Oryzias latipes: one gene and its partner. The protein of the gene in region 2 interacts with the protein of the main gene of each other region in a pairwise test. Links are inferred from orthologs where the notes say so. Each region holds a gene or a part of one and is shown on either strand. Other genes may lie near its edges.

Region 1 (4,288 bases), on a different chromosome or scaffold from region 2:
AAGCTCCCAGGCCTCTGGTAGAGGACCCGAGCTTGGAGGAGAAACCACCCGCGGAGGGTGAGAGGGGCGTTTTTTTTTTCATATATATATATATATATATATATATATCACTTTGTATCGCTGAATCTTGATTGCAATCGGTGGTTACCATGACAAGGCGCCGCACCACAGAACAAATAGTCCGCTTTCGGTGAAAAAAGCTATCCAAATCGGAGAAATTAAAAACTGGTTAGTATTTATTTCTTTTGTAAGTGACCATGGTATAAAGCGGGTTAATGGCCTTCGAAGTATGAAATGCCCTCCGCTTCTTGTTGAAGGGTTCAGGCTTCCACGGCGTGCGCTAAAAAGTGATAAGGCATACTTCGTCAGCCATTAACAATTACTTATGGCACACAGCAAAAAAAAATAAAAATTGCTGACATTATTTTTTTGTCTAACAGCCCACAAAATTAAGTTTCACAACTCATTTCTGATGCATAACTCAAGTTGAACAAAAGTCTTTATGAGTGTGATTCAACTGTTGAGATGAGCTGAGGGGCAGAGTAGCGATTTCCCAAGCCAGAAGAGACTGTTCTACTGGCACTGGGCATGTATGAAAAATGAGCAGTGAGGAACTATAAACACTTGCACAACACTTCTTCAAAAAAACCACGGAATGGTCTGACAATTTTTTGGAGAGATATCGTTGAGAAGCTGCAAAAAAAAAAAAACGTCTGTCTTATATTTTGGTGTCATTGTCACACAATGCCCTGAGAGCTTGACAACTAGAAGGTCTGCAGTGAGCCTCATGTGAATTATGAGACGTCCTGGTTAATGTCTTGGTCGCATACGACAAACTCTTGCATGACAAGACTAGTCCTGCAGATTATCAACCAGCGCTACGTCTTCAGATTTAGGACTGCACTGCAGATGTTCTATCCATCTTCTTAGCAGAAAGGTAGGATGTCTGTAAAGACCTTCATTCAGTCAAAGCAATGGGAATAATAAACTATAAAATATAATCTGGTTCTGAAGTTTTACTTTGGAAAACTAGCCAATGCTTTCCACCAAATCTGACTCACTCTTGACGCATGTCAAGTCGCTCGGTCACGTGTGGAAAATACCTCTGCTACTTTCTTAAAGGGACTGCACCGACTGCTAAACTGAAACCTCCAAGCTAGAAAAGTTAAGGAAACAAATGCCTTTTTCACAGAAAAAGGGATTTTGACCTTTAAAAAAGCTGCATCATTCAACAGACAAATACAAATACTCCAAATATGGATTTATGGCAACAGTTGCTATCACACACCATAATGATAATGCATAATATTCAGCAACCGGCTGTCTAAAGTTTGGAGAAACGCTGCTAATAAAGTGGATCAAACGGTAGATTTGTTTATATGTATATTTTTTAAAATACCAGATTTGGTGACCAGCCTTTTTTTTGGGGGGGGGGGTTTACAACTTAAAAGTGTTTAGTTCTACTTTGACAGCTAGGAGTTGAGGGAAAATCTAAATCCCATTGTTCCTAAAATAAATGTAGCGTACAAAGAAAGTTTAAAGCAGCTGCAGATATTTTACAGAGGATGAAGCTAAACTTTACCCTCAAACGTTAAGGAAAACTGGAAGAAACCAAAAAAAGTGGAGGCCCACGTCCACCTAGTAAAATATATTGTCTGACGTTAAACCTGTGTGTGGGGCGCCGCTGCTGGAGCCTATCCTATCTAGAGTTGGGTGAAGGCGGGGTTCGCCCCGGACAGATCGCCAGTCAAACTTCAATAAAAAAAAAGCCCAAATGAACCAAACTATCGTCATTGGTTTGGTCTGTTTGCATTGCTGCTTCACTGGAGGCACTAAAGTGACAGACAACCCTGATCCTACACTAAGTTTTAAATGAGTTCAGCATCAGTGGAAAACCCAGGATCATGTTTAAAACTGGGCTGTTTATCTGACTCCACCCAAAAAAAGACTTTTTTCCTCCGTCCTTTCAGACAAATTCATTGTTTTGATTAAAAATGAAGCTGCCATCAATGCATGTTCAACAATCATCTTTAAAAATGTACCTAAAAACTTTGCTGTTCCCATAAATATAAGCAGCAGTTTTCTCTAAAACTAATTAACTAAGCATGGCTGCTCAGAAAAGACAGGATAAAGCTGCACATGGTGAGAAAACTTCCCCAGTTGTTCCTTTTTCCTCTTAACTTAAGCAGCTGAGTGTGGTAAGAGACAGACGGCGGCAAAGCCAAAGGCCGTCAGTGCCTCCTTCTTCACCAGCGAGCCTCGCCGCTTGTTTCCTGGCCGGCGTGAAGGAAGCAGGCGGTAGGTGAGGACGGGAAGCACGGAACGGATGGGGAAGGGAACGAGGAGAGGGAAGGAAAAGGGAGGGGGAAGCGAGGAGCGACCTTTCCCTCCGCGCCGCGGAGCGGAGAAAAGCCCCTCCGCTCCGCTGACGGGAGCCCCCGGCACGAAGCCGAAAGCAGCGAGCCCTCCCCTCCCCTCCCCGCCTGCCCTGCAGCCCGGCGGATACTCACAATCTTCGCATTAATGGGGTCCGGAGGGCGGTATCCGCTGCGCTTTCGGAGGCACATCCGTGTGGAGATTGTCGGTCCAATGCCGCTCCGCACCGGTGCGTTGTTTTGTTTTGTTTTTTCTTTCCCCCCCTCCCGATAAATATTTTAATATATGTTTTCGGAGTAGCCTACCTCCGCCGCTGTGTCGGAAGGAGTACTCCTCCTCCCCCTTCTGCTGATCTCCCCCCTGCTTGGGTTTTTCCCATAGAGAGTGTGGCAGAGAGACAGCTAAAAACGGCGGGGAGAGAGGAAGCGAGCTCGCTGCCCTCGCGGACACAGTCAGCAGGGCGCATGCGCGGAGCTCCACGTTCATTCATGCATATAGAGTTGTAACTTTTAACACACAACAATGTCAGACACAGGTTTTCATCATTAGCCTATTACAAACTGCAACTGATTTGAATTATGATTCATAGTAAAAATCCTAATTACATTCTTAATATTTTTAAACATTTACTCAAACCTAGCAACTTTAAAAATGTAGCTTATTATTAAGAAATACAGATGATTAATAACTAATTTCACGTTACAAACGACAATGACAAAAAGTTCAATATAAAATGGTGTTTGTTGCACTAGTTTCTCTTTTTTAAGATGTTCAAAGCTAATATATATTAAAATTAGAATTAAATCACTATTAATTACAACTTCAAATTATAATTCTTTTCTATTTGCCAGATGAAAGTGCAGTTTCAAAGTGTGATTGTATTTGAAATGGAACTATATGTCATATAGAACTTAAAGTAAAGGAGACAAGTAAAAATAATAATTTTTTTTTATAAAATCAATCAAGTTAAAGTCTATGTGGCTTCTTTAAAAATCATTTTAATTAAATTAAATTACTAGGATGGAAAAACATTTCCACTGATGTTAATGGGCACAACTATGACTCAGGAAAATAATAACCAAATAAAAATGAATGCAAAAAGAATAATTAAAACAGACATACATTTCTGACCTTTTTTAAATTGTTTTTTTATTATTTTATTTTAAATATTGTGTAGGTGAATCAATGAATATGCACAGAAGGGGGCGCCAAACACCAAGAAGAAAGAAATAAAGAACCGTGTGAGAGTATTTCTGGTTTATAAAGACATTGACGCAATTTCATCATTAGATTAAATATCAATCTACATTTAATTTTGTTGATAAATATCCCTTTTCACAATGCTAATTTGATTTGGTTGTACTCCTATAAAATATCGCACCCATGGAGGTAAGGACATTTTGAAACGCTACTAAAAATGTAATCTCTCAAATTAAACTGACTGAATAATTCTTCAGTATGTGTACAAGTCAAAGCCATCAGCAAAGTTCATTTTTCGATGAACTATGAAGTCCACTCATGTCTGCTGACAGACACTATCTTTAGATCACTGTGAACTTGTATTCATTGATCCTCCAACATCTTTGAGGGAGTTGCATTTCAATGATCCACAGCTCATCTTCTACTGCATACCCAGCTTAATCATCGGGGGTAATGCCTATTTTGATGCTCCTGCCTGACTGGCATGACAGACCAAGCTTTAGTCTCCGCCTCCAGCTGTTATCAGAGGTTAACCTTTGATCTGTCACAGGAGTCCTGGGGAGCTGCACAAATCCCTGCTGTTGTGAGTATGAAGTCTTGCTTATCAAATACGTTTGCCCTGTCTAAGCTATATTCATGGTTTGGTGGGGTAAAATTGAGCAACACATTGAATTATGAGACTTCCTAAACCAGACCACCTTCTAAGACCAAA
Region 2 (3,925 bases):
ATGTGATAAATACGTGCCCGTGGGACCCCTGTAAGATGTCCACATGAACTACAATCTGTCTAATTTCCTGATTAGACAAGGAGCAAGGAGCACGCACTTATCTATTGCACCAACAAGGTTCCCTGTGCAGTCCTTAGCGTTCACCTGCTTCCCACCTATTTCACCCTTACGTGTTGCATAAGTGTTCTCTAAAAGAATGTTCATTAACATTTTTTATTTCACTCTACAGGTTCACTCAAATTTTGTGCAGGCCCGTATCCGTCCGTAAGGGCAGTCGTGAGTAAGGCGGATCATTTCTTTGGCTGTGTTTTATTTTCATAATCACTCGTGCATAATCTAATCTGACAGATCATAAACTTACAGCTGAGAGTTGTGTGTTTCTAGGAACTCTATCAGGTTGTTGGTAACTTTTTGCATGTTATGTCATGCAGTTTTTGTGTTTGGGATGAATTCATAGTATTACAAAAAACATTAAAGAAAATTTGAATAATAAATGAAACGACAACAACAAATTCTCACATTGTGTTTTATTTTACGTAAAAAACTTTAGACAAAAGAGTGCACACAATATAATATCCATCAGGAATAAGAATAAGTGAAACAGGTAATATACAAAATAGGCTTCAACATACAATACTGATATGGAGAAAAAGGATCAGCAAACGTCCCGCCCGGGGTTTCAAACTTCAGCAGCGGTTTGATAAAGAGCTTGTGCTGCGTTGATAAAAGGAGTGACTTTAGACAGCCTCTCTAGCTGACCCGTAGACGACAATCCTCCTTGGTTTTTTTCAAAACAACGTTAAAACTCTGCACTAAATTTCAAAGCTTTTGAATTTTAAATTTGTACATATTGATTTTTTTTTTAGTATAGACATTTACAAGGACGTGGGGGGAAAAAACAACTGCAGCTACTTTGAAGACATCTCCACAGTCGCAGACTCGTTTCCTCCATTTACATCGTAGTCTCCCACTGGACCGCTGACTAGGACCTTCATGCGATCAGGGAAGTCATCAAACTTGGGGGACAGCAGGAAATCGTACACCAGAGCCGCCGCTACACCACCACACATCGGGCCCACCCAGTACACCTAGGACAGATAACTCATATCAGCTTTTGCACTGACTTTGTAACGTTCAAGTCCTTACTGTGTCACAGAAATGCCACAAACACTGATTAACTTATGTGTGTAGTGAGTTACTTGGGTTTGCTAAATAGCCCACATTCAGCTGTCTGAGGTCTGCTGGGGCTCATTCTCCCTCCAACTTACCCAGTGGTCCGTAAAATCGTTCAGGATCAAAGCTGGGCCAAAGGAGCGGGCGGGATTGATGCCACAGCCTGTGTAGCTGATCTATGATCACAAAAAAAAAAAAAGACATGAAGTCATTCTGGAGCAATGAAAGGCGGTTTATTCACCTGGTGGACCACACTAAAATCCACTGGGGTCAATCTTGAACAAACATTTTTGGGGATGGTGTAACTTACAGCTGCCAAATGTCCCAGGCAAACTGAGAGGCCAATGGCCAGGGGTGCAGAGCCCATGACGTCACGCCTCCTTTTATCAGTGACTGCAATGACACACAGCACCAGCTGGAAGGTGGCCAGAAGCTCAATGCCCACTCCTTGGCTGGGGGTGACACCGTTAAGCTGTGGGTTTTTAGGGGGGGGGGACAAAATTCAGACATTGGAATGGAAAGAATGGAAAGTTTCCCTTCACTGGCTTTATGCTGACATCTTGATGCTATCATATTATTGCAGTAGTAGAGTCATAAAATCACTGAAGCTACAAGTTTTTAATAGATTTTTTTTGCCAAACAAAAAACGGTGGTTCTGTCTATAGGGGCCGTCCTTTACCTGCACACCTCTCCACGTTGCATTTAAATGCACTGTCCTTAAAATGCAACGTGGACAGGTGTGCGTTTAAAGGATGGCGACCTCTCCATGCTGTCGTGCATCCTATTTAGGTAAACAAATTCTGCTGTCAAGAAAAGGGGATATAAAAAGTTTTACTCACAGAGTTGAGCCCTAGGGCGCTGGTGTTGGAAGGACGCGTCCCGTAAACGATGCCGCTGGCGAGGGCTGAACCCAGCATCTGAGCCACTATGTACATGACTGCCTTGAAGACGCTGATCTGGCAGCTGGCAAGCATGCCAAGGGTGACGGCGGGATTCAGGTGGGCTCCACTGATGTGGCCTAAGCTCTGGGCCAGAGTGGCGATGGCTAATCCAAAGGTCAGCGACACCTTCACCTCCTGGTCTGGGTTGGCGTTGTTGGAGTTTCCAATGGCTGCAGAGATGCTGAGAAAAATAAAGAAGGCCATGCCGACCAGTTCGGCTAGAACGGCCCTCCAAAAATCTTTGCTCTTGAACTCCCTCATGGTGGTGGCTGTGTGACGGTTTGAGCTGCAAAGTGTGTGTAATCGTAAACAACAGCATCAGGCTGCATATATAAGGCCGGTGCTGATAATGGTTGGTGGGCGGGCGTTTAAAGAAAAAAAAAAAAAAACTGAAAGGGAGAACCACGCTGAACTAATGAGAAACCCAAAAGGCCGGTCTCTCCCATCCCTCCCTCTGCTTCCTCACCCTCCCTTCTCCCCTCTCCGTCCTCCAGCTTTCTCCCAGCACCTCCCTGTGCAGCACTCTCTCCGGTCTTTGGACTTTTGTGAATAGCAAAACAGAGTCTTTAAATAGCTGTACCCAAAGATAAAATGTCCTTTCGTACCGGCGTTTCTAAATGAAACTCCCCACTGAGAGAGAGCTCCCAGTCAGAACTTTCCAGGAGCAGAGGGAAGCGTTTTTTAGCTGAAATTTGCCTTAAATGACAATTTTGTGCAATTTTGCGCCTTACGAATGTGAGCGTGGATCACTGACAACATACAGGAAGGCAGGAGACAGCTCCAAACAGCCCTTTGCTCCACATTCCCCCTGGCTTCTACTCCAATTTTGAGCAACATGAAGTAATACAATTAAGATATTTTAGGCACAAAAAAGTAACTGAATGAAGAAACTGAAGTTAAAGGTCCTAAATGATATTTTAATCAGAATTGCATAAGTAGAACTTTTCCATTTCTAATAGAGCAACTGTGATTTATTAACTTGATTGACGTTTTTGCACAATTACTAGTTGTATTGTTGAGCAAGAAAGTGAATGATCAACTCCATGAACGGCACTGCCTGTTCTGGAGCCCCCCCCCACTTAAAGAGGGACTCCAACAAAAGGCAGTCCGCCCTTTCACTGCTTATCTGATAGAAAAAATCCTTTTCAAATGACATATTCTTAGAAATGACCCTGTCACTGGACTTTTGCATTAGTTTTCATATATGATAACCATCATATTTAGATTAGATTTAGAATAGATTTAGATTTATTGCTTTTTTTTTTTACAAGTAACAATGCAGAAACACAGGTATTTGTATATGTAGTAAGTACAATTTCAGAACTAAAAAGGAAAAGTAAATACCAAGAATCAATCAGTCAAATTTAGCAGCAAAATAAAACAAATTTGTAAAATAAAAGTAGGTTTTGTACAATTTCAAGTGTAAATATTCCTTATTATTGTTCTTTCGTATTCAACTCCTTAAATTTTTGCTGCCAAACACTTTTATCTTCATCCAAACTTTCAGTTCTTGTCATTTTGTTTTATGAAGTCATCTGAATCTGTTAATTTTTAAAGTTTCAATACAGCATCAAAATCAGACAATGGAAAGTGTTCTGTCAAACTTATTATCCTTTAATTATTAACTCTTCTGACTTGTGCGACACGCCGCAGCGCTACGCTATGCATGGTTGCCGTGACAGAACTGCGAGATAACAAGTTGCATCCAGATGTCTTTCAGAATAGTGACTCATGCTGTTGAACTGTAGTGATTAATGTCTGAGAGAGAAATTCATCATTTCTTTCAATAATTCATAAGTCATAAGCAAAGT

The links. The genes of interacting proteins can lie anywhere in the genome.
Region 1: the proteins of aqp1 (region 2) and regulator of G-protein signaling 17 interact in binary tests that used the Homo sapiens proteins (3 or more experiments, as listed by UniProt). The two-hybrid records come from large-scale screens. The link is inferred for Oryzias latipes from reciprocal best matches to the Homo sapiens genes AQP1 and RGS17.

Annotation. Positions count from the first base shown.
Region 1 is NC_019865.2:27,368,490-27,372,777, forward strand, and holds the start of regulator of G-protein signaling 17, read right to left. Parts: upstream 2,816-4,288; 5' UTR 2,568-2,815; coding exon 2,511-2,567; intron 1-2,510. UniProt on the Homo sapiens protein: Regulates G protein-coupled receptor signaling cascades, including signaling via muscarinic acetylcholine receptor CHRM2 and dopamine receptor DRD2.
Region 2 is NC_019875.2:28,339,613-28,343,537, reverse strand, and holds aqp1 (aquaporin-1), read right to left. Parts: upstream 2,438-3,925; 5' UTR 2,376-2,437; coding exon 2,013-2,375; intron 1,646-2,012; coding exon 1,484-1,645; intron 1,350-1,483; coding exon 1,269-1,349; intron 1,089-1,268; coding exon 909-1,088; 3' UTR 513-908; downstream 1-512. UniProt on the Homo sapiens protein: Forms a water channel that facilitates the transport of water across cell membranes, playing a crucial role in water homeostasis in various tissues.